Saccharomyces cerevisiae S288C: one gene and its partners. The gene in region 4 interacts genetically with the main gene of each other region. Each region holds a gene or a part of one and is shown on either strand. Other genes may lie near its edges. The genes, in order: PAU24, YPL039W, YVC1 and GYL1.

Region 1 (4,633 bases), on a different chromosome or scaffold from region 4:
ATTGTATTTACCCACTTATAGTTTCACTTCTGGTCCTGTTTCTGGGACCAATATTTGTCCTTGTTATTTGTGGACTTTCTCGTAAGCGTTCCTTATCGAAACAACTCATTCAGTTTTGCAAAGAGATTACTGAAAACACACCAAGTTCTGATCCTCATGATTGGGAAGTTGTTGCAGCAAATCTAAATTCGTACTTATATGAAAATAACGTTTGGAATACTAAGTACTTTTTTTTCAATGCCATGGTCTGTCAAGAAGCGTTCAGAACAACCCTTCTCGAACCATTTTCTTTGAAAAAAGATAAAGCTGCCAAGGTTAAGTCATTTAAGGATTCCGTCCCTTACATTGAAGAAGCATTGGGAGTTTATTTTACAGAAGTTGAAAAACAATGGAAATTGTTTAATACTGAAAAATCATGGAGCCCTGTTGGCCTGGAAGATGCTAAACTTCCCAAGGAAGCTTACCGATTTAAGCTTACTTGGTTTTTAAAGAGGATTTCCAATATTTTTATGTTGATACCATTCCTTAATTTTTTGTGCTGCATATATGTGTCACGGGGAATGTGCCTTCTATTACGCACCTTGTATCTCGGGTGGATTCTTTTCATGTTGGTACAAGGTTTCCAAAATATAAGGGTTTTGATTATGAGCATGGAACACAAGATGCAGTTCTTGTCGACTATTATAAATGAGCAAGAAAGTGGTGCGAATGGATGGGACGAAATTGCAAGGAAAATGAATAGGTACTTGTTTGAGAAAAAAGCCTGGAAGAATGAAGAGTTTTTCTTCGACGGGATTGACTGTGAATGGTTTTTTAACCACTTCTTCTACCGCGTTCTATCTGCGAAGAAATCTATGTGGCCTTTACCATTGAATGTGGAACTATGGCCATACATTAAAGAAGCGCAATTATCCCGCAGTGAGGTGCTCTTAGTGTAGAGATAAATACAACTTTTTCAATTTATATATTTTGTAGTTTGTCAGCTGCGAATTACCAAAACGAGACTACTTTTTACCATTACAACCATTTTCTTTTTCCCTATTTCTCACTGGTTGAGAGAACTCGATGTGCCACCATCCTACCATATGCGCAAAACTTATTGTCTTTCTCCTCCCAGTGATGCTATATTCCATGCATATTCTGAACGATGGTTTGTGTTTTTATCAAGCAAGGTTAATCACATGGCGTGGCTTGCTCCACACATCAGTAGAAAACGCATACCGCAGCGGAATCCTTAAATAATAAGTGATTTTACTGTTCATCAACTACAATCGGACTCTTTCACAATTACCCTTCTTGTTTTCCACATTTATTGTTAATCAAGGAATATACAAAAGCTCATGAAAGCCTTTATTGAACACTAAATAGAAACCCTCCTGCCACGAAAAACTTCAAGATCGATAACTTTAATCTTAAAAATTTGACACATTTGAAGGCGACGACTCCGGGCCGATCGATGCCCTGAAAAAAAAAAAAAAAAAAATAAAGGCGACCTCGTTTAAGGTGAATATGGAAGAAAATGGTTATATAATTGCTTGAACATTTGTCGTTATATATTAACAATAGCATCAACCGGTTTACTAGCAAGTGAGTCTAAAATATGATTTTTTAACATAGATATTGATGACCCATGTCGTTGAAGTGGACACACATCGAAGAATACCACAAAAGGAAGAGAGGATTCTTGTCCTTGCTCCGCCAAGTTGTTCATAAATATCACGATTGACCAGTAGTAACAATATTAATATACACTTACATATAATCAACTATTTATACTATCAAAAAAAAAAAAAGCTTTTTTTTTTTTTTCCGTTATTTCTTAAGGTTTATGGAATTTCATTCGTAAAGGCATCAGTCTCTAGTTTGCGATAGTGTAGATACCGTCCTTGGATAGAGCACTAGAGATGGCTGGCTTTAATCTGCTGGAGTACCATGGGACACCGGTGATCATTCTGGTCACTTGGTCTGGGGCAATACCGGTCAACATGGTGGTGAAGTCACCGTAGTTGAAAACGGCTTCAGCGATTTCAACTGGGTAGGTTTCAGTTGGATGAGCGACTTGGAAAGAGTAGTATTGGGCCAAGTGAGCTCTGATATCAGAGACGTAGACACCCAATTCAACCAAGTTGACTCTTTCGTCAGATTGAGCTAGAGTGGTGGTTGCGGAAGCAGTAGCAGCGATGGCGGCAACACCAGCAGCGATTGAAGTTAGTTTGACCATTGTATTTGTTTTGTTTTTTAGTGCTGATGTAAGCTTAACAAGAAATAGTGAAATGAAAGCGCATACCTCAAAGATGGATAGCTACAGCAGCTCTATTTATATGAATGTCTTGCCAACTTCCCTGGCACAAACGAGTTATCATCTGGCACCCATCTCTCACCTAAAATGCCTCAGTGTACAATTTTCATCCCACATTCATTATTCATATTATTACGGTGCTTCTGTACTTGAACGATGCGTCTTTCATAGGTCCCGTATACGAGGCGCACGCTTCATAGTGCCTATACCTTTTATTGCATTTCCAAGGCACAAGAATGTTTTCTCACAGTGTACATACTTCCGAAGAATCCCTTTAGGGTGCCTTCAGAGATGCAGCTGCAGCTTTTGGCCAAGAAAAAGCCAAAACCAAATTTGCTTTGAACCCTCGTTAAGAGGCCACCTAATCTTTGTGCTCTAAACGGTTGCTACGGGAAAATTGTCGATTCTGTTTTTCTTAAAATAGAAAGTGAAAGACTTATCGAATACCGGAGTCGTATATTGTAGGTGCCTACAGTCTTATACACTGCCAGCAAAAATGTTGACAAGAATAAATGAGCATTCGAGGTGCTACGAAGCCCTAGTTCTGAAACAGCGGAACTTCCACTGGATCAAGCTGGCCATACCGGAAACTATACCGGAAATTGATAAATCAACATCTTAATAAGTATTATATAATTTTTTTTGTAATACTAATAATCGGAGAACAGCACCAGCGCTTCGTATGTTAGGCAACGGTTGCCGCCTAGGTCTACGTTTCTCTATTCATTATATGGTAAGTGAAGGAGACAAAAAGTGGCGGCTTACATACAGAACTTCTATCCTATGGATGTACCTGCAGTCTTTCTGTTTGGATGAAATTGATAGAGGGCTTAGTGTTACTAATACAGAAAGCCTTTAAGCCTTTTTCTCCCTTTTATTCACCGTTTCAATATGTCTATCATTCTGGTCATGTGTTTTTCTTCCAGGAATTTACAATTATTACAGCGATAAGTAATCATACGTATCCAGATTATAGGCCCGTTGCTGAAGAATAACTACACTTCTCTGATATATAGTTATAGCTCAATAACTAATGGCATAGGGGACACAGATTTTCGTAGTCAAATTTCTCAAAGGATAAGAGCGTCATTCCACCTCTTCTCTTCACTTCGTTGGCTTTTATATATTGATTGTGGGGTGTTAATGTTGTAGAGTTACCGAAGTAGCAAGATTCTTATGCGCTTATTTTCTTTTGCTTAATCACACTGTCTAAAGCATATGGATTATGGACAGATGATTGGTTTAGTTCATCTGAAGGCTAGACAATAAAAGGCGGGTTCGGAAGGGGGTAGGCATGCTCAGACTTGACGTAAACGCATAAGCCGGCAATGTTGAATCGATTTTGTAACTCGCCTGAGTGTTACATGAGATTACATATAGGATCGAACCATCACGAAATCAATTACGCTGTGTTATTGAATCATAAAATCACAGAGCTTCCCGAGAAAACGCTAAATTATGTGTCAAGTACTGTGGGCATCTCTTAACGCTATCTTATATTCATTTCACTTTTTATATCTAGTCCTTTTCTTTTCTTTATTAAATAAAACTACCACCTTGTATGATTCTTAGCAAGACATTCCAGCATTAATACCAGCACAGGTTTCTTCTCCCTTGTTTTCATCCGAAGAGAAAGGATAGTGCTTCTTATGCTTCATTAATAATTTGGAATTCACATTTATATACACGCTAAATATCATAATGAACGAGGATCATGTAGAAAAACACATTTACCCATAATGGTGAAACAAATTATCAACAGTGCTTTTACGTTATCATCATTTACATATAAAAAATTTATCTAACAAAAATCATGTGAAAAATCATCTGTTATTTCGTTAAAGTACGCGCTAAAAAAAAGTCGGCACTAATTTTATTTGACGAGGTAGATTCTACCTTCCCATGGTTTCAAAACTCTGGAGGAAACGTCAGTATCATCATAATTTCCAAGAATAAAAGATAAAGAAGCACCTTCTCTTGGGAGGCTGAATTCAATTTCTTCGCCACTGAAATTCAAAGCAGCAAACAGCGTCTTGTCTTCGTACTCTTTAGTGAAGCTAAAGATCTGGTCACTGTCTAAATCAATGAATTGGAAATCGTAACCATAAATCATAAGTTCCTTATATTTCTTTCTGGCTTGCAAGGCCCTTTTCCAAAAATTGAGAACTGAGTCATCATCTCTGGATTCCTGCTCAACATTGATTCCTTGCTCAAAAGATTCATTCAAGAAAAACCAAGGTTTAACATCTGGGCCAGTAAATCCAGCATTGGGCTTATCTTTCGTCCATGGCATGGGAGTTCTCGAATGATCTCTAGAAAGTAGGGCGATTCCTT
Region 2 (5,497 bases), on a different chromosome or scaffold from region 4:
GTATATGATGGATTATTGTGGAATCATTTAGTACGGCAGATGTTGAAAAAAAAAGCAGAAAATTTTTGAATTTTTTTCGTTGACATTGGAAGATTTCGTAGTGGAAACAGCTGCAATTGCTTGTTAAGTAGTAACCCCTCCTTTGTCACAAGAGAGCGAATATTCTTTCTAGGGAGGTTTAAGAATAGAACATCTCACACCAGACGCGACTCATAATTCATAATGCCAATTGACCAAGAAAAATTAGCTAAGCTACAAAAGTTGTCTGCTAACAACAAAGTTGGTGGTACTAGAAGAAAGCTTAACAAGAAGGCAGGCTCTTCTGCCGGTGCCAACAAGGATGACACCAAGTTGCAAAGTCAATTAGCTAAGTTGCACGCTGTCACCATTGACAACGTCGCCGAAGCCAACTTTTTCAAGGACGACGGTAAGGTCATGCACTTCAACAAGGTCGGTGTCCAAGTTGCTGCTCAACACAACACTTCTGTATTCTACGGTCTACCACAGGAAAAGAACTTGCAAGATTTGTTCCCAGGTATTATCTCTCAATTGGGCCCTGAAGCCATCCAAGCCTTGTCTCAATTGGCTGCCCAAATGGAAAAGCACGAAGCCAAGGCTCCAGCTGATGCTGAAAAGAAGGATGAAGCTATTCCAGAGTTAGTTGAAGGTCAAACTTTTGATGCTGACGTCGAATAAATAACTTAATCTTTAATTTTAACGTTAAATAAAAAAACACATATTTTGTTCCATTTTTTTTCATTTTTTTTAGCATATCTAAAGCATATAATACAAACACTGTTTTCTGCAAAAAAAAAAAAATAAAAAATAAAATATAAAAAAACAATATACCACACTATGCTGCACACGTGAAATGATGAACTTGTACGTCACCACTTTGTGCGCAAAAAATTGGCAAAAGTAGAGAACATGTCACTAACTGTATCGGAATATTACAACGTTTTTTTATTCTACTTATCTCAATGGCTAAAGTATATATCTATCTATATATGTATGTGTAGGTGTGCTGATGGAGACAAATACGTTTTCCTCTAGCCTTACAACAGGCCGGTACCATTCTTTATCGCATCCTTGATGAGCTCATCTACATCAACGTCTGAACCTTCACTTAGTTTCTTTCTGTTTCTTTGACAGGTCAGTGTGTTAGAATGTCTTTTTAGAGCATCCTTCCTGGCAAACCCTTTGCCACAGTTTGAGCAAATATGCGGCAGCACGAGTGAGTGTACCTTTTCATGTCTTCTCAGATCAGAACTTCTGCTGAATTTCAACTGACATTTCGCACAGCTGTAGAGCTGTGCGCCTTCCTTGCTATGGTTGTTACCTCCTGTTCTTTTTGTTTGTGTTTCTGGAATCCTTATAAGACCTCTAGCCATATTTTCCGGCTCCCCAGCCTTTAAAACATTTTCTGGTGCTGGTATAACTGCGCTCAATGGGCTGGATTGTCGAATTCTGTGGAGTAGCTCTCGTATTATGGGGTCCGTATGAGTGGGACTTGATGAGATTACCGCTATAGCTTCTGCCGCTTGTTTGAGAAATATTTCATCTACATTCATGTCTTGCGCCAGTTTCATATGCACATATAGACTATCGACTGTGTATATTGAGCCCAACTTGTTAATGATCAAATCTCTTTACGTACTGAGGAACGGCTTTTTCTTTTTCTTACCCATGTTATATTTTGCATTAGAACAAAAAAAAAATTGATGGGCTAGCAAAATTTTTAGACTAAAATTTAGAGGCAAGATATGGTTCTGTAAGACTCGAAAAAATTCTCATAATATATACTTGCTTGTGTGAAAGTGTTCTTTTGTTTTGTTTTTTTTTCTTGTGTATAATTATACATGTTTTTTTTGCCTTTTGTACTCAAGAAATCATAAATGGAAATAAAAATGACCCTTGAATGATGAACAAAACGACAAACCATACTTTATTAAACTATCCTAAAAGCTTCTTGTACTAACTTTTTACCCATTTTGTTAAACTCCTGTAATTCTGTCACCAAAACATATCCGTTACTTTGACCCGACCATTCACCAGAGTCACTTACTTGGGTGGGTTCGATCCCACACTCAATTAATGATCTAGAATGCAAACCATTTGGTGTGTCTGGGATAAACGTAGTTTGTCGATATGTATCGGCATCAGCCCCCATGCTATGCGTTTCTTCATGTTCCGACCGCCTATCTTGGCCTTCCCCATCGGAATGGCTATGAAGCGAGTATGCCCTTGTATGTACATGTAGATCATCAGCTGACCTATTGGTAGAGAAAAAAGGTGATGCTGATGAATTGGAGTTCATAAAAGAACTTCTGAGGAAGTACGAATGTTGTTCACGTCGAGATAACATTTGCCTGCGTTGTTGTCTACTCCGCCGAATAAGTACAGGCCTCACAATAGAACAACAATTTATCACTTCTTCCAGTGGCAAGCCTGTTATCTGGGAATAGAGATGATAGGTTTCATCCCTCGTGGTAATCCTGTCGCGGTCATCGCCTACAACATTTGGCACACTTAAGATGAAAGCAGCTACAAATAGTTTGTGTAAGCTGAACTTTAAAAACTTCATGTAGTTAGTTTCCTTCGAGCAGCAATCTAGAAACTTGATGACAATGCAACAGACCTTTTTGAACTGTAAATGCGATGATTTGGCTCTGTGTAGGATTATTTCTAAAAATTTGGTTGTTTTCAAATGATTTGTGCCAATAATTGCATTGTCATCATCACTAGGCATGGTAACTAATAGGCTCGCATACCGCTGCATAATCCCCTTAGTCACTTGCGCTATCATGAACTTTTTCAATACCACTTTTTGCTTTTTAAATGACAACTCAGCAGATGCCATGTTATCAGCACCGCTCAAATTATACTCCTCTTTCAGCATCCCCCAGCGTGAATAATTCTACCCCGTATTCTTTAAATATTTAACATAGATGGCGATGATGTGTCGCCCCATATAATGTACTTTAAAAACAATAAAATCCTGTTCTGAAAATGTCGATTCTTTTTCCGCAAGCGAGTTAAGAAACGCAGAAAAACAGCAAATATAAAGGACCAAGGCTAGAAGTTATGGAACACAGTATACTAAGAACGATCTTTAGCTACTTATGAAGCGCTCCAGGCTTGTGCCTCAACATATCTTTAGCATTATTAGCAAGCGATATCTCGCCAAACATGCCTACCAAAAAACATTAAACTTGCCCAAGACCAAATTCCCTAATAGATCAAACTTAGAGATTACATTGAGGGAATTAATACCAAAATCTTCGCAGTTAGTTTACAAGGAGCAGCTACGTGATTTCTTCGAAGAATTTTCAAAGCTTAATACGACTGATGAAAAATTAGAGTTCATTAAAGAAAAGTTGTTCATCTTACATGATGGACCGCCCTATGCCAACGGCGAGCTCCATCTCGGTCATGCTCTAAATAAAATTCTGAAAGATATCATAAACAGATATCAACTTTCACAGGGGAAGTACATTTTTTATAAGCCTGGCTGGGATTGTCATGGACTACCCATCGAGATTAAAGCTTTGAAAGATTTAAGCGCGCAACAGATCGAGTCAATATCGCCTTTAAAAATCAGGTCAATGGCTTTAAAACATGCACAAAAGGCAATCAAGAGGCAAAGGGAAACTTTCCAACATTTTGCCATCTTAACGGACTGGGAAACACCATACCTAACAATGGATAAAGACTATGAAATTAATCAGCTAAATATTTTTAAAGAAATGTACGAAAGAGGACTGATTAAGAGACAGAACAAACCGGTTTACTGGGGTACAGAAACTAGAACAGCGTTAGCAGAGGGCGAATTAGAATATAATGAAAACCATAAATCCATCGCTGCTTATGTTAAATTTCCTCTTGAAAAGAAATCCCAGATGGATCTGTGCAAAAAACTAGGAATAACGAATAACTTGCCTATATACTGTTTGATTTGGACCAGTACTCCATGGACTCTTCTCTCTAATCGAGCAATCTGTTTCAATCAGGATTTTTCCTACTCCCTATTACGCTTAAATAGTGAACTTATCCTTGTAGAGACCGGCTCCATTGATAAATTGGGCCTAACAACTAACTCATTTGAGACTATCAAACAGTTTCAAGGAACTCATCTAAATGGGCTATATTATCAAAACCTCTTAGTAGACGATAAGGTTGGCAGGCCCTTATTACATGGTGCACACGTTACCAGCGGTACAGGGACTGGATTGGTTCATACAGCACCAGGGCATGGACAGGATGACTATCTCATTGGTATTCAAAATGGTCTTGAAATTTATTCTCCCGTGGATCACCAGGGCCGCTACCAATTAAATGAACTTCCTCAGTCCGTCAGATCCATCGTGAGAGATGAAGGAGACTTAACAAAAGGTAGGCAAGTATTGGATGCCGAAACCGCGAAAATCATTCTATGTAAGTTAAGCGACCTTAATTTACTTTACAAATCTCACGAATACACGCATTCTTATCCGTACGACTGGAGATCCAAGAAACCTGTCATAATAAGAGCTACTCCACAGTGGTTTGCAGATTTACACGATGTAAAAAACTTGGCTCTGGAAAGCATCAGCCGCGTCAAGTTTTGTCCTAAAAGAGGCTATTCAAGACTTTCATCCTTTATGAAAAGCAGAAATGAATGGTGCATATCTAGGCAACGCTCATGGGGTATCCCTATATTAAGCTTTTACAAGAAGAGCGAACCGGATTCTGTTTTGATGAATTCAGAAATTTTGGCACATGCCATAGAAAAAATCAAACAAAAAGGAATTAATGCATGGTTTAACGATAAAGATAATGACATGAAAGAATGGTTGCCAGAAAAATATCACGACGTAGCGCATGAATACTGTCGTTCTCAAGATACTATGGATGTGTGGTTTGATAGTGGGTCGTCATGGAGTGTGATCAAAGACTTTTATGAAAAAAGCTTAAAGTTGTCAAAACTCCCATCCCCCCTGTACCAAGTTTGTCTAGAAGGATCTGATCAACATAGAGGATGGTTTCAAAGTTCACTGCTAACAAAAGTAGCATCAAGTAATGTCCCTGTTGCACCATATGAAGAAGTGATTACTCATGGTTTTACCCTAGATGAGAATGGTCTGAAAATGTCAAAATCTGTGGGAAATACAATTTCTCCCGAAGCAATAATTCGAGGCGATGAAAACTTAGGCTTACCAGCTTTGGGTGTTGATGGCTTGAGGTATCTGATAGCACAATCGAATTTCACAACTGATATAGTTGCTGGCCCGACTGTGATGAAACATGTAGGAGAAGCTCTAAAAAAGGTTAGACTAACTTTTCGCTATTTATTGAGTAATTTACAGAAGTCCCAAGATTTCAACCTTTTGCCGATTGAACAATTACGCCGTGTTGATCAATATACCTTGTATAAGATAAACGAACTGCTGGAAACGACGAGAGAACACTACCAAAAGTACAACTTTTCCAAGGTTCTCATTACTCTACAATATCATTT
Region 3 (6,571 bases), on a different chromosome or scaffold from region 4:
TTTTATAGATATTAGTCTGCTGATTATCTAGTTTCTTGTCACCTCATACGTGTTTTTTTTTTTTTTGGTTTTCTCGGTTTGCATTATGGGGCTTTTTGCTAAAACAATATCCCCGAAAAGACAAAGAAAGAGAAGTGAGGTGAAAATACGAGCAGCTTATCTTATAAAAGTGGCAACGATTTTAAAAATAAAAAGCAAGATCGTCGACTTATCTAAGCTATAAAAAAATATCCCTTTTATCACACAAAAAAATGAACACATCAGTCACTTCCATAAAGTTGGTACTGTTGGGTGAGGCAGCAGTTGGTAAATCGTCAATAGTCCTAAGGTTTGTATCTAATGATTTTGCCGAAAATAAGGAGCCCACCATTGGTGCAGCATTCCTCACTCAAAGAGTTACTATAAATGAACATACTGTTAAGTTTGAAATATGGGACACTGCTGGGCAAGAGAGATTTGCATCTTTAGCACCTATGTACTATAGAAACGCACAAGCTGCTCTTGTAGTATACGACGTTACAAAACCACAATCCTTTATTAAAGCGCGCCACTGGGTTAAGGAATTACATGAACAGGCATCAAAGGATATCATCATTGCGTTAGTTGGTAACAAGATCGATATGCTGCAAGAAGGTGGGGAAAGAAAAGTCGCAAGGGAAGAAGGTGAAAAGCTAGCGGAAGAAAAGGGCTTGTTGTTCTTTGAAACAAGTGCAAAGACAGGAGAGAATGTTAACGATGTATTTTTGGGAATCGGTGAAAAGATACCACTGAAGACGGCTGAAGAGCAAAATAGTGCAAGTAACGAACGTGAGTCGAACAATCAAAGAGTGGATTTGAACGCTGCTAATGATGGGACCAGCGCAAACAGTGCTTGCAGTTGTTAGAGAGGGGAAAATAAATATATATAAAAAAAAAGTCTGGGCAAATTGAGATAAATAGATCTTCAAAACGGGAAAGATGAAAGTCATAATTTATCGTACCTAGAAAGGAGAGGGAGTTTTCATTTTTTACCGTAATCGTTGTTTTTCTTTTCTTCTTATAATTTGTAAATTTTTTAACTGCATTAGATCATTATATTATCTTTCAAAACGCCAGTCGTTTTTATTAGACCTTTATATACGTTTCAAAGTGGTTTGTACACGTTAGTTTAGTTAAACTTTTGTTTTCATGTAGACCAAAATATAAACTTATTTTATGCCGAAAATCGGGAGATGGATTAGTTAATATTGTAAATAATGATAAATTAAAGGAACATTAAATTTACAAAGTTGCAATGAGGAGCAATATATATATATATATATGGATTTCTGAGAAATTAATTAAGCAGTATTTGAACACATGTCGTTTACTCTTTCTTATCCTTTATGTCTAATTTTTCGAGTAGATCGGTAATTACAGCTGTCAAGTTTTCCACTTTCTTAGTGAGCTCTTTGACTTCATCTTTATCTTCACCAGCATCATCTTCAGTGTCATCGTTATCATACTGTTCGAAGGAGGGACTGCATTTTTTAACGTTTTTATACCACTTCTTAGGGACTTTAAAATGGACATCTTCCTGCTCTGCTGTTCTTTGCAGTTTTAGCGAACGGGAATTCTTTAACTGGGTGGCTCTCATGCCAGAATTTCGGTTATCAGAAAACAAACCGTCATCATCATCCAAGTAGCCATCTGTCAAATCCCATGGAGTATCATATTCATTGGCATCATCGTTTAACCTTTTCATCCTGTTATATTTTATCCTTCTAGCCTCCCGAGTTTCTTTAACAGAAATAAGCAACAAAAATGGGCTGTACACTATTGTCATTACAGTATAGCTCAAATCTTTAGCACGCTTCGGTGGAAGAATACGAAAGATAGGTGTCATGAACACTTCAATTAAGTTCAATGGAGAAACATAGACATCTTCATCAGGTGCTCTAATGTATCTCAACGTCTTTTGTGACATCAAAGCCATGTACTCGTCATCTGCATTGTCAATAACTTTTTGGTACGCAGTCGAATACAAAGCAATTAATATATTCAAAAGGATAACCGAAACAATAAAATAGTAACCATAATACAGTATTGCCGCATATGGGGGAGCGAATTCTTCGAAAACATCAAAACTACCAAGACCCAAAACGGTGATTGTTAAATTACCCAGGATGGGTCCGGTGATATCTCTCTTACCATCTGCGGAATCCAAACCTAAGAAACCTTGAGTGAATCCTATCATTATTAAGAATAGAAGGAAGAAAAATACAATGGATTCTTTCATCATATGTTTTAGGATAACCAACATAATCCCAATAAACCTTTGTGATTCAAGGTATAGTAGGAGTCTCGACCACACAAATGGTGCTGCACAGGATAAGACTCTATATGATATTTTATCCCAATCTTCTGAAGAGTATTTTGCATTAAGGGGCGTTACGCTCATTGCACGGAACCCCATAGCAAACGTGATTATCAAATATGTGGTATCATTAAATAAATTCCAAAACGATAGGTGCGCATAACCAATATAATAAAGCTTAGTGAGCTCATCCAAGATGAAACCAGTATTGAAAACATAAAATATGCTTTCTAACAAATCGAAAGATTGGACTCTCTCAGAGTCCTTACCATTAACCACCAAGGTATAAAGCCCTAGAAACAAAAATGAGAAGATCATCTGCAAATAATTTTGGTATACAGGCGCCTTTAATCTTACGGGGTTGAAATGAGAGATCAATGACACTTCCGCCAGTGAATCGTCCTTGATAAAAGTTGTGGGATCCAAGCCATTTTGGACTATCCATCCTCTCCATATCCATTTTAAACAACGCTGAAATCCACTCGATCCTATCACTGTAGTACAGTGCATATCTGTGGCAAGTTCCAAGGCATTCAACGGTTCTTGATCTTCATCGTTCTCGTTGATTACGTACCGACGCAGCAGTAACTGCATGAAAAGAAACTGCAGGTCTCTTGTCTCCTCCCTTTCAATTAACAATTTACATAACTGTTGTGAGGCTAAATTTCTGGTTTCGTAAAGTTTGGCATTGTGCACTTCCATAGTGGCCAATATGGAATACCACTCACAAACTTTAAGAAGTGAAAAAATAATGACAGATTGATATTTTCTTTTGTTGGCCTTGTCTTTAGGGTTCCCGCCACATGCTTCATAAGCCAGCTTCACAACTTTTGGAGATAAAATCTCAGAATGGTCACAAACAATATCATTGGGATCGTAAACAATAGGTACGACCTTATCAATTAAGTATTTCAAATTTAACGTAACCCTGAGAATCTGTCTCGGAGTGGGGGCCTCAAATCCAAGAGATCCATTGTTTTCCGGCATGCACTGTTCGTTAGAAATTGGCAAGTGCAAGTCGCCGTTGGCTGATACCATAATGCTCCTGTTCTAGTAATATTATATTTTATAACTGAATTCTATTGCCTTACCAAGCCACTGATTAATGACAATTGCATTGAATAGGCTCTAGCTGATCCTCGAAGGATACTGACTAAATTTACCACATATTTTCAGCTCTTATGAGATAACTCCGACATAGCAACAGTGTAGGAGAAAAATTAAAAAATTAACGACCCCAGTGAGGGTTGAACTCACGATCTTGCGATTAACAGTCGCACGCCTTAACCAACTTGGCCATGGAGTCTAACTTTGTTGTTTTAGAGAACGAATGAAGAACTTATTATGACGATAAAAATATGTCAAGAGAGGCCCAAGAATGTATAAATCATTGTAAAACCAAGCAAGTAACAAAAATGGTCATGTGACAAGAGGTGGTGACATAAAAATAACCAAAGGACTAATAACTAGAGAAACAATAAAATGAGAAACTAAAAAAAGAAATAAAGCATTGAAAATCTCATTAGACTAGTTGGCTCATTTCCATGGCAAAATGTACAATTGTATCTCAGTAACGTTATACTCGCTCCCTTTTTAGGCCAATTTTATCCATTATTCTCATTCTAAAATAGCGGACATAACGAGAAAACGATTTACGTTAGAAGTGATAACAACTTTGGCGACCGGAATGCTGCATGAAAAATTATAACAAAAGGCCCCTCAAAAAGCTAAGGGACAGGGATGTTGCTGCAATTGGAATAGTATAATCGGCCGTCAAAATTATCAACTAATAGCATTGGCTACTCCAATTTGGACTTACTGGCTGGTAATTGACTTGTATAGCATTGTCTTAGCTTATTATTTTTTTTTTGCTGAAGAATAAGTAGGATAATTGAAGAAGAATAGCTAAGATAAAAAAAGATAGCTAGTGCATTCTGAAAACTTCAATTGCGTGGTACATACAATATGGCCAAAGAAGATACTGGGGTAACAGCACCAAAGAAGCCCGAAACAGCCCAAGTAGCTAACATAAATGGGATAGATAAGTTAGAACCTCCAAAGACGAAAGAGGAAACCGAATCCAGTAAAAGCGTGTCATCTGAGAAGGCGGCACATGCTAGTGATGAAAGCTTCAAGAGAAGTATCCATGAAGCTTCTTATGTCGGCTGGAAACAGATTGGTGGCTGGGAAGACAAAGACGAATTAACTTTAGATGATGAATTGATGGATATGACTAGAGAAACCTTCTTAGATAACATCATACCGGACAGCCTTTACGGTGACTGGTATCATTCGGTAGCCATTTTCTTTATCGGAGGCGTGGCATCATTTGCACTTGGTCATTATAAGTTTTCAATGGGGTCGGCCTTTTTTGTCATCGTTATCACTTCATTGTTGTATAGAACCTCTGCTAAAAAATACAGAGGTTCCATAAGAGAGTTAGTCCAGAAAGAGTTCACGGTGCAGAAAGTGGAAAACGACTATGAATCCCTAGAATGGTTGAATGCCTTTTTGGATAAGTACTGGCCCATTTTAGAACCTTCCGTTAGTCAATTAATCGTTCAGCAAGCTAATGAACAAATGGCTACTAATGAGGCGATTCCCAAATTTATTACTCAACTATGGATCGATGAGTTGACACTTGGTGTTAAACCCCCCAGAGTTGATTTGGTGAAGACTTTCCAAAACACTGCATCCGATGTTGTTGTGATGGACTGGGGTATTTCTTTTACTCCTCACGATTTATGCGACATGAGTGCTAAGCAAGTCAGAAATTACGTTAATGAATTAGCGGTTGTTAAGGCCAAAATTTTTGGTATCACCATCCCTGTTTCTGTGTCAGACATTGCTTTCAAGGCTCATGCTAGAGTGAAATTCAAATTGATGACTCCCTTCCCTCATGTCGAAACTGTTAATATCCAGCTACTGAAGGTTCCTGATTTTGATTTTGTTGCTACCTTATTCGGCCGTTCCATCTTCAATTGGGAAATTTTAGCTATCCCAGGCCTTATGACACTAATACAAAAGATGGCCAAGAAATATATGGGTCCAATCTTGTTACCTCCATTTTCTTTACAATTGAACATTCCACAACTCTTATCTGGTTCCAACTTGTCCATTGGTATATTAGAAATAACTGTCAAAAATGCAAAGGGGCTAAAACGTACCTCTTCGATATTGAACGAATCAATCGACCCTTACTTATCTTTCGAATTTAACGATATATCTATTGCCAAGACAAGAACCGTAAGAGACACATTGAACCCCGTTTGGGACGAAACTCTGTACGTCTTGTTAAACTCATTCACTGACCCCTTGACCATTAGTGTTTATGATAAGCGTGCAAAATTGAAGGATAAAGTCCTAGGCAGAATTCAGTACAACTTGAATACTTTACATGATAAAACCACGCAAAGAAACTTGAAAGCTCAGTTTTTAAGAAACTCTAAACCGGTTGGGGAATTGACTTTTGATTTAAGATTCTTCCCAACTTTAGAAGAGAAAAAGTTGCCGGATGGATCTGTGGAGGAACTACCGGATTTGAATACTGGTATTGCTAAAGTTGTGGTCGAAGAAGGTTCTCGTTTTGCTGAAGAAGAACAGAAGGTTACTGCCTACGTTGAAGTTTACTTGAATGCTAAACTAGTGTTAACCACTGGTAAGGCAACTGACACTGGTACATTGAAGTGGAATTCAGACTACGAAGCAGTTATTGCAGATCGTCGTAAAACAAGATATAAGTTTGTCGTCAAGGATGGCAAAGGAGAAGAAATTGGATCTACCATTCAAACCCTGAATGATTTAATAGATAGAAGCCAAGTGAACAAAAATTTGATTCCATTAAAAAACCAAAAGGGTGACATAAAGATTACCACATATTGGAGACCTGTTAGACTGGAGATTGGTTCCAACTCTGTAGCTTACACGCCACCAATTGGCGCCATCAGAGTATTCATTGAGAAGGCAAACGATTTGAGAAATTTGGAAAAGTTTGGTACCATTGATCCATACTGTAAAGTTTTGGTTAATGGTTTATCGAAGGGTAGAACTGATTTCAAGAGCCAAACTTTGAATCCTGTCTGGAATCAAGTTATTTATGTTGCAGTTACTTCACCAAACCAAAGAATTACGCTTCAATGTATGGATGTCGAAACAGTCAACAAAGATCGTTCACTTGGTGAATTCAATGTTAACGTTCAAGATTTATTTAAGAAGGATGAGAATGATAAATATGAG
Region 4 (6,447 bases):
CTGATAAAAACAAACTAAACGGTAAAGCCACAAATCCGAAATGTATCACCAATGATCACCCAGCCTGCTAAGTGCCCTCTATTGATCCGTATATCAGCTTTTAGATCAGGCTCGAGTTTCTTGTTATATGTGCATTGCAAAAGCATAAACAAATCCTGGCAGCCGAAGCCGGGCAATCCACTTCGAAACGCACGGCTGAACTATATAAATATAAAGGACATGTGGAGAGAAGCTTCTCTTCCTTCACATTTCGCATTTCATGATCTAAAGTGGTTCTTTCACAATAGAAGAGCACCAACACGAAATATGGCTGTCGGTGGTAATAACTGGAGCATGTGGCTGCGAATGTCACGGGTCCACCTCAGGCAGATCACGAAGTCTCTGGACCGAACGCTGATCAGTTTGAGCCATGGGAATTTTTCCCACCAATATAATCGCAATATTTTTGTCACTTGGTGGAAGAGCCTATTTGAGGCTTCTACAGCTTTTAGGAGGGCAAGTGGTTTAACGGTATCTCCTCTCACGAGGAGAGGAATCGCAAGGTTTGACCATTTCAGACCTGTTCCCAATGTCAGTAAATTTGCTTCTTTTCCCAGAGTGCCCAAAGGAGCCCCAAGGGGCCTTTTTACCAACTGGAATATGACTACATCAAAGAGATTATTAGGGCAGAGAGCTTATTCGACTTCCAGTATCAAATTTACCCAAGAAGCCGTGAATAACATGACTATATCTTTGAGGTGTTTTTTCAACTCACTAGGCGGATTAAATCAGTGCTCCCACTCTAATTCCTGCAAAGCTTATCAGAATGCGTCTAATGTTACCTCTAAACAGGATCACGTCCAACCAGTTGCCCTTAAGAAGTTATCTCAAAAGGATATCAATTTCATTCGTAATTTAGAACTATTTAAGATAATGAAGACCCAGAATGAAGTCGTTGATGAAACAAGCGCATATTACATGGAAAAACCAGGTTCCTATATTGAATTTACCATTTCAGAATTTAACGTTAATGGGACATTCTCCGCACCTTTGTCATTTTTAGATCCTTCTTTGTTAGCGGATTTGGATGAAATGATTAGAAATTACAAATACGAATTAAAATCAATATACAGTAGTGTTGACATGATCTTGCAGAATTATGGATCATTGCCGATAACTTTTCATCGAAATAAGATTCGAATACATTTTCCAAACTCAACTGTGGTGGAAACAGAAAAACTAATTGCAGGTCTGAATATTGCTACGGGTGTTATTTACGCAGATACGTCTCCCGATATCAGTCTAGAAGGTACAAATTTGAATGCTCTGGTTAATGTTGACAATTCAGGAAGCGTATGGTCTTTTGTTAAGGAGCCCTCGTTTCCCTCTAGGAGCGCTTTTTCACCTATTTTATCAGATGCATCCTATGATACTTATGAATTGGTCTAGCAAAGACGTTGTTTCATCGCGCTATTACCAAGAAGGTTACTTTACTTGTTCTTGCACATGGACGCACGTTGTGTGTTCATATATATATATATATATATATATATATATTTGTGCTTGTTTTCATTGTCTCTATAGTTAATACATTCTATTTTTATCGTTATATTTGCATTCTCTTCGCATAAAAACTTCATGAAAATTCGGCAGAAAATAAGCCATATATGTACTTTATCCATAGGCAAAGAAAAGCACTTAACGAGAATATACAACAATTGCACTAGTACTGCATGTATATACTCTTATGATTATAGCGGCAAGAAAACAAATATAAACACACTAACAGATGAATTCGAATGAAGATATACATGAAGAACGCATTGAAGTTCCACGAACTCCCCATCAAACCCAGCCAGAGAAAGACTCTGATCGCATCGCTCTCAGGGATGAAATATCAGTACCAGAAGGCGATGAAAAAGCATATTCGGATGAGAAAGTAGAAATGGCAACCACAAATGCATCCAGTAACTTTGGCTCAAATGAAAGTGCAAAAGACGGCGAATCAATCGGCGCCTTTTCAAATCCCCATGAGGCTCTGATGCAGTCAAAATTGAGAGAAGAATCCCAGAGTAAAACCATACTACCATCCGATGACCTCAGCCAGCAATTAGAAACCGAAGAATCCAAAGTTGAAGAGGCTCTAAAAAGAATAACCTCACCCCCATTACCACCGAGGGCTGACTGCATAGAAGAATCTGCATCTGCTCTTAAATCCTCATTGCCTCCAGTGCTAGCAGGAAATAAAAATGATCAAGCCCCCCTTGACCGACCACAGTTACCTCCGAGGCAGGTAGTTAATGCGGAAACTCTTCATTTGAAGGCGCCCCATGGTAATGCGACTCCCTCCAAATCACCAACGAGTGCTGTAGGTAATTCTTCTTCATCGACCCCTCCAACCTTACCACCACGCCGTATAGAAGATCCTTTAGACTTGGCTGCTCAAAAACATTTCCTAGCGAGTACATTTAAGAGAAATATGCTCTTTTATAAAAGTGAAGATAACTCTATCAAATGTGATTTGGATAAAAATATACTAAATTTAAAAGAAGATTCAAAAAAAATTAACAACAATGAAATTCCTGAAGAGGTTAGTTCATTTTGGTTAAAGGTTATCGGCGACTATCAAAATATCTTAATAAACGATATCGAAACCTTACATTTCCAACTATCTCGAGGTATACCAGCCGCTTATCGATTGGTAGTCTGGCAGTTAGTAAGTTATGCAAAATCGAAATCCTTTGACCCTATATATGAAACGTATCTAACGGAAATGGCACCTTTTGACGTCCAGGAATTTGAAAATCAGCTAAAAATGATGGACGAAGTTCCCTCTGAATACGTAAAACGCATAAGTAATGTGTTAAAGGCTTATTTACTTTTTGACCCAGAGTGTGAGTTTTCTACCGACATTGCTTATATTATCAATATGATTCTTGACGTTTGCGAGGAGGAGGCAAATGCATTTGGTCTACTTGTACGCCTAATGAAAGTTTACGGTTTAAGACTCTTGTTCTTACCAAGTGCTTCTGAGATCGATATTCTTTGCTATAAATTTGATAGACTTGTAGAAGAATTTTATCCTGAAATTCACAACCACATGGTTGAAAAAGGCGTCCGTTCTTCCATGTTTTTGCCCGGTTTCTTCACGACACTGTTTCAAAAGAAACTTCCCACTGAAATTCAACCACGTATCGGTGATATGGTATTTTTAGAAGGTATTGACTCTATTATGAGAATTTTAGCCACACTTTTATCTAATTCCCGAGACCATCTGTTAAAAATGGGTTTTGATGATATGCTGGAGCTATTGAAATCAGGTCTGTTAGATGCTTATATTAAGCAGAATGATGGTACACGCGGTGACACTCTTCTCTCAAATGAATGTATGGATAAATTACTACAAGACTCTATGATGAAAGTAGCAATAACCCCAAAGACTATGAAGAAATATTCTTCTGAATATGAGGAAATTCACAGATTGGACAATGAAAAAGAAGTGCAATATAAGTCTATCACGGAAAAAAATTTACATTTACAAAAGCATGTTCGTAAATTAGAAAACGACTACACATCTTTAAATAGAGAGCATGTGACAATTGCGAACGAGTTAGTGAAAAATCGGCTTAATATCGAGTCTGTATTAAATGAAAATAATGGTTACAAACTTCAAATTTTAGATTTGAAGAAAAAGTTGGATTCAGAAAAAAAGAAGCAAGTTTTAGGTGTATATGTGCCCAATGATTTAAAGAAAGATTTGGAAGAGACAATGAAAAAGAATACCCAAGTAATGGACGAAAATTTGAAATTGCAGGATAGGATTTCAGAACTAGAAAGGCTTATTGAAGAAATAAAAACTGCAAACAAAAATGGTACGTTATTCGAATATTCTAATTCTAAAAATAATCCTTTGGGAGCCGGCTGGTCAGGATTTAAAAAGGTTTTTAAATAGTTAAACTGTGTATATCAGCTACTGCTCCCCTTGAATGATACATGACTAAATATAATGATAAATTTATTTCTTGATTTTTGATTATTTCATATTTTGTTGACATTTGAGAGCTTCAATTGTATAAAGTTGCAAGATAATATATGAGGTTAGGGAAGCCGGATAAAGAAAATAGAGTACTTTAAAACTGTTCATGGACTAAGAATTCAGTGACGATGAAGTAGTAAAGGAGAGTGTTTAGGATATAAATAAGACCGAGAAATTGTTAGTAAGCATTACTTCTAGCAGAAATAATGAACCACAATCGTGACAATATATACTCGAGTTAGCAGTTAACAGTAACCCTTTCCATACCATTCTAAACTTTGCAACAGTAAATATCTTGGCGTTTAACGTTTTATTTTATTCTACGTTTCTCAAATATCGGCTGTACTCATGTGGCACATCATGAAAAGAGCCTTCATATCAAGAATTCAAGAATTTTAATTACATCGTGACAACGGTTTCCTAAACTTTTAGTAAAAACAATTAAATGTGCAATTTTGTTGATTATACTGTGGACAAATTGAGCTTAGTACGTTTCCTTCTTCTCTTTCTGCAATTATATTTAATTAAATAATCTCGTATTCTCGCATCCGGGCACGCTTTGTGAAATTCATTTGAGAAACCAAAAACAGCTGATCAGCTAGAGCTATTAGAAGTTAGTGCCCAGGGGTATAGAAAAATCAGTTTAAGGAAGAAAAAGCTCACAGAAGAATATGCAAAAAATTTTCAGACCATTCCAATTAACGAGAGGCTTTACCTCTTCCGTAAAAAACTTCAGGCAATGGAGACTGATTGAAACAAGGAAGATTGCCAAACAACCGAACTACCAAGTTGGTGATGCTAAACCTTTACATATGCCAAAAGAAAGAAAGAAATTTCCAGATTACAAGTATGGGGAATCTAATATCTTCAAACAGAGTAACAAAGGTCTATATGGTGGATCTTTCGTTCAGTTTGGTAACAATATTTCTGAAAGTAAAGCCAAAACGAGGAAGAAGTGGTTGCCAAATGTTGTCAAAAAAGGTCTCTGGAGTGAGACTCTGAACAGAAAAATCAGTATCAAAATGACCGCTAAAGTTTTAAAAACAATCAGTAAAGAAGGAGGGATTGACAACTATTTAACAAAGGAAAAATCTGCAAGAATAAAAGAATTAGGGCCGACCGGATGGAAGCTTCGTTATAGGGTTTTAAAAAGAAAAGATGAAATAGAGAATCCCCCACATAAGGATGCACCTATCATAGAAATGGCTGGTGGTAAAAAGGCCAAAATTTACTATGATGAAATAGTAAACGGCTCACCAAGAAAAATATCAGTTGGAAGAAGAAGATTGATGTCATTTTTATATCCTTTAGAGAAATTGGAATATAGGTCAGTAGGGAAGGACCTGAACTACAAAAAATTTGTCGAGTTATTTGCCGACGTTCCAGTCAAGGATATCCTAGCTAGATTAGAGGATCATAAATTCGACTTATCCACCATCACCGTATAAAAGGAAGAAATAAAGAAGATAATTGCCATTCCGAAAATATCGTTGGTTTTCCCCTGTATATAAAAAAGCATATCTGTTTGTACATATGTAGGTATGCACACATTCTGAACATTATTGATGCGTATATGCTTGCTACATTAATTGGCAATTCATTTTTTAGACTGTTTTACACCCGTACATTTCACAGTTTTTTTTTGAAGTTAAATTCCAACTGAATGGAAGCCTCCGCTCCTATGAAATTTATTTGAAATCAGAGATTTCAGGATGTTGAACAGTATAGTACTGATTTACAAGTATCAAAGAAACAAGAAAGACAGCAAACACAATAAGAAATGACCGTTAAGACAGGTATGTGAGACATAAACAAGGAACTGAACGGGTTATGACGATTTTCGAACTTATAAAGGGGTTTACCCCAAATACGAGAAGAACATGAGTGCATTGAAAACTTAAAAGGAAACAAAAACAAGAATATTATATAATTTTGAGTGATTAATGACCAATGGAAATAGCCAGAGGAAAAATACCATTTAATATGCATACACAGGCTTATCTCTTCACTCCTATCTAAAAAACTATTGTGTTTGAAGATGAGGTCCATTTTACAAAAAGAATAGTATTGCGAAAACGCCTTCAAATGGAACATTTTAGTAGTTGCACCATTGTAAGAATTGCCATGGAAAACAATCACAAAAAGATGCTATACAAAGCCGTACATTATACGTCACTTCCCGCCGACACATATACACGTGTATATGTATGCCTATTTCACATGTTACTAACTGAAGACAACCTGTGTCCTTATATTTAGGAATTGCTATTGGTTTAAACAAAGGTAAGAAGGTCACTAGCATGACCCCAGCTCCAAAAATCTCTTACAAGAAAGGTGCTGCTTCCAACAGAACCAAGTTCGTAAGATCTTTGGTCAGAGAAATCGCTGGTTTGTCTCCATACGAAAGAAGATTGATTGATCTAATAAGAAAC

The links.
Region 1: mutations in GYL1 (region 4) and PAU24 together harm fitness more than expected from each alone (negative genetic interaction), as found in Saccharomyces cerevisiae (one large-scale study listed by BioGRID).
Region 2: mutations in GYL1 (region 4) and YPL039W together harm fitness less than expected from each alone (positive genetic interaction), as found in Saccharomyces cerevisiae (one large-scale study listed by BioGRID).
Region 3: mutations in GYL1 (region 4) and YVC1 together harm fitness less than expected from each alone (positive genetic interaction), as found in Saccharomyces cerevisiae (one large-scale study listed by BioGRID).

Annotation. Positions count from the first base shown.
Region 1 is NC_001134.8:806,645-811,277, reverse strand, and holds PAU24 (seripauperin PAU24), read right to left. Parts: upstream 2,222-4,633; coding exon 1,859-2,221; downstream 1-1,858. Other genes in the region: COS2 (Cos2p), read left to right, coding at 1-938; alpha-glucosidase MAL32, read right to left, coding at 4,173-4,633. UniProt on the Saccharomyces cerevisiae protein: Component of the cell wall.
Region 2 is NC_001148.4:476,627-482,123, reverse strand, and holds YPL039W (uncharacterized protein), read right to left. Parts: upstream 2,900-5,497; coding exon 1,949-2,899; downstream 1-1,948. Other genes in the region: EGD1 (Egd1p), read left to right, coding at 223-696; MET31 (Met31p), read right to left, coding at 1,056-1,589; YPL038W-A (uncharacterized protein), read right to left, coding at 1,751-1,942; isoleucine--tRNA ligase ISM1, read left to right, coding at 3,123-5,497.
Region 3 is NC_001147.6:484,509-491,079, reverse strand, and holds YVC1 (Yvc1p), read right to left. Parts: upstream 3,374-6,571; coding exon 1,346-3,373; downstream 1-1,345. Other genes in the region: Rab family GTPase VPS21, read left to right, coding at 252-884; TCB1 (tricalbin), read left to right, coding at 4,301-6,571. UniProt on the Saccharomyces cerevisiae protein: Required for release of calcium ions from the vacuole in response to hyperosmotic shock.
Region 4 is NC_001145.3:645,350-651,796, forward strand, and holds GYL1 (Gyl1p), read left to right. Parts: upstream 1-1,768; coding exon 1,769-3,931; downstream 3,932-6,447. Other genes in the region: SPG5 (Spg5p), read left to right, coding at 307-1,428; mitochondrial 54S ribosomal protein bL28m MRPL24, read left to right, coding at 4,687-5,463; 60S ribosomal protein eL36 RPL36A, read left to right, coding at 5,796-5,811, 6,275-6,447. UniProt on the Saccharomyces cerevisiae protein: Probable GTPase-activating protein which stimulates the GTP hydrolysis rate by GYP5 of YPT1 and SEC4. Involved in ER to Golgi trafficking and polarized exocytosis.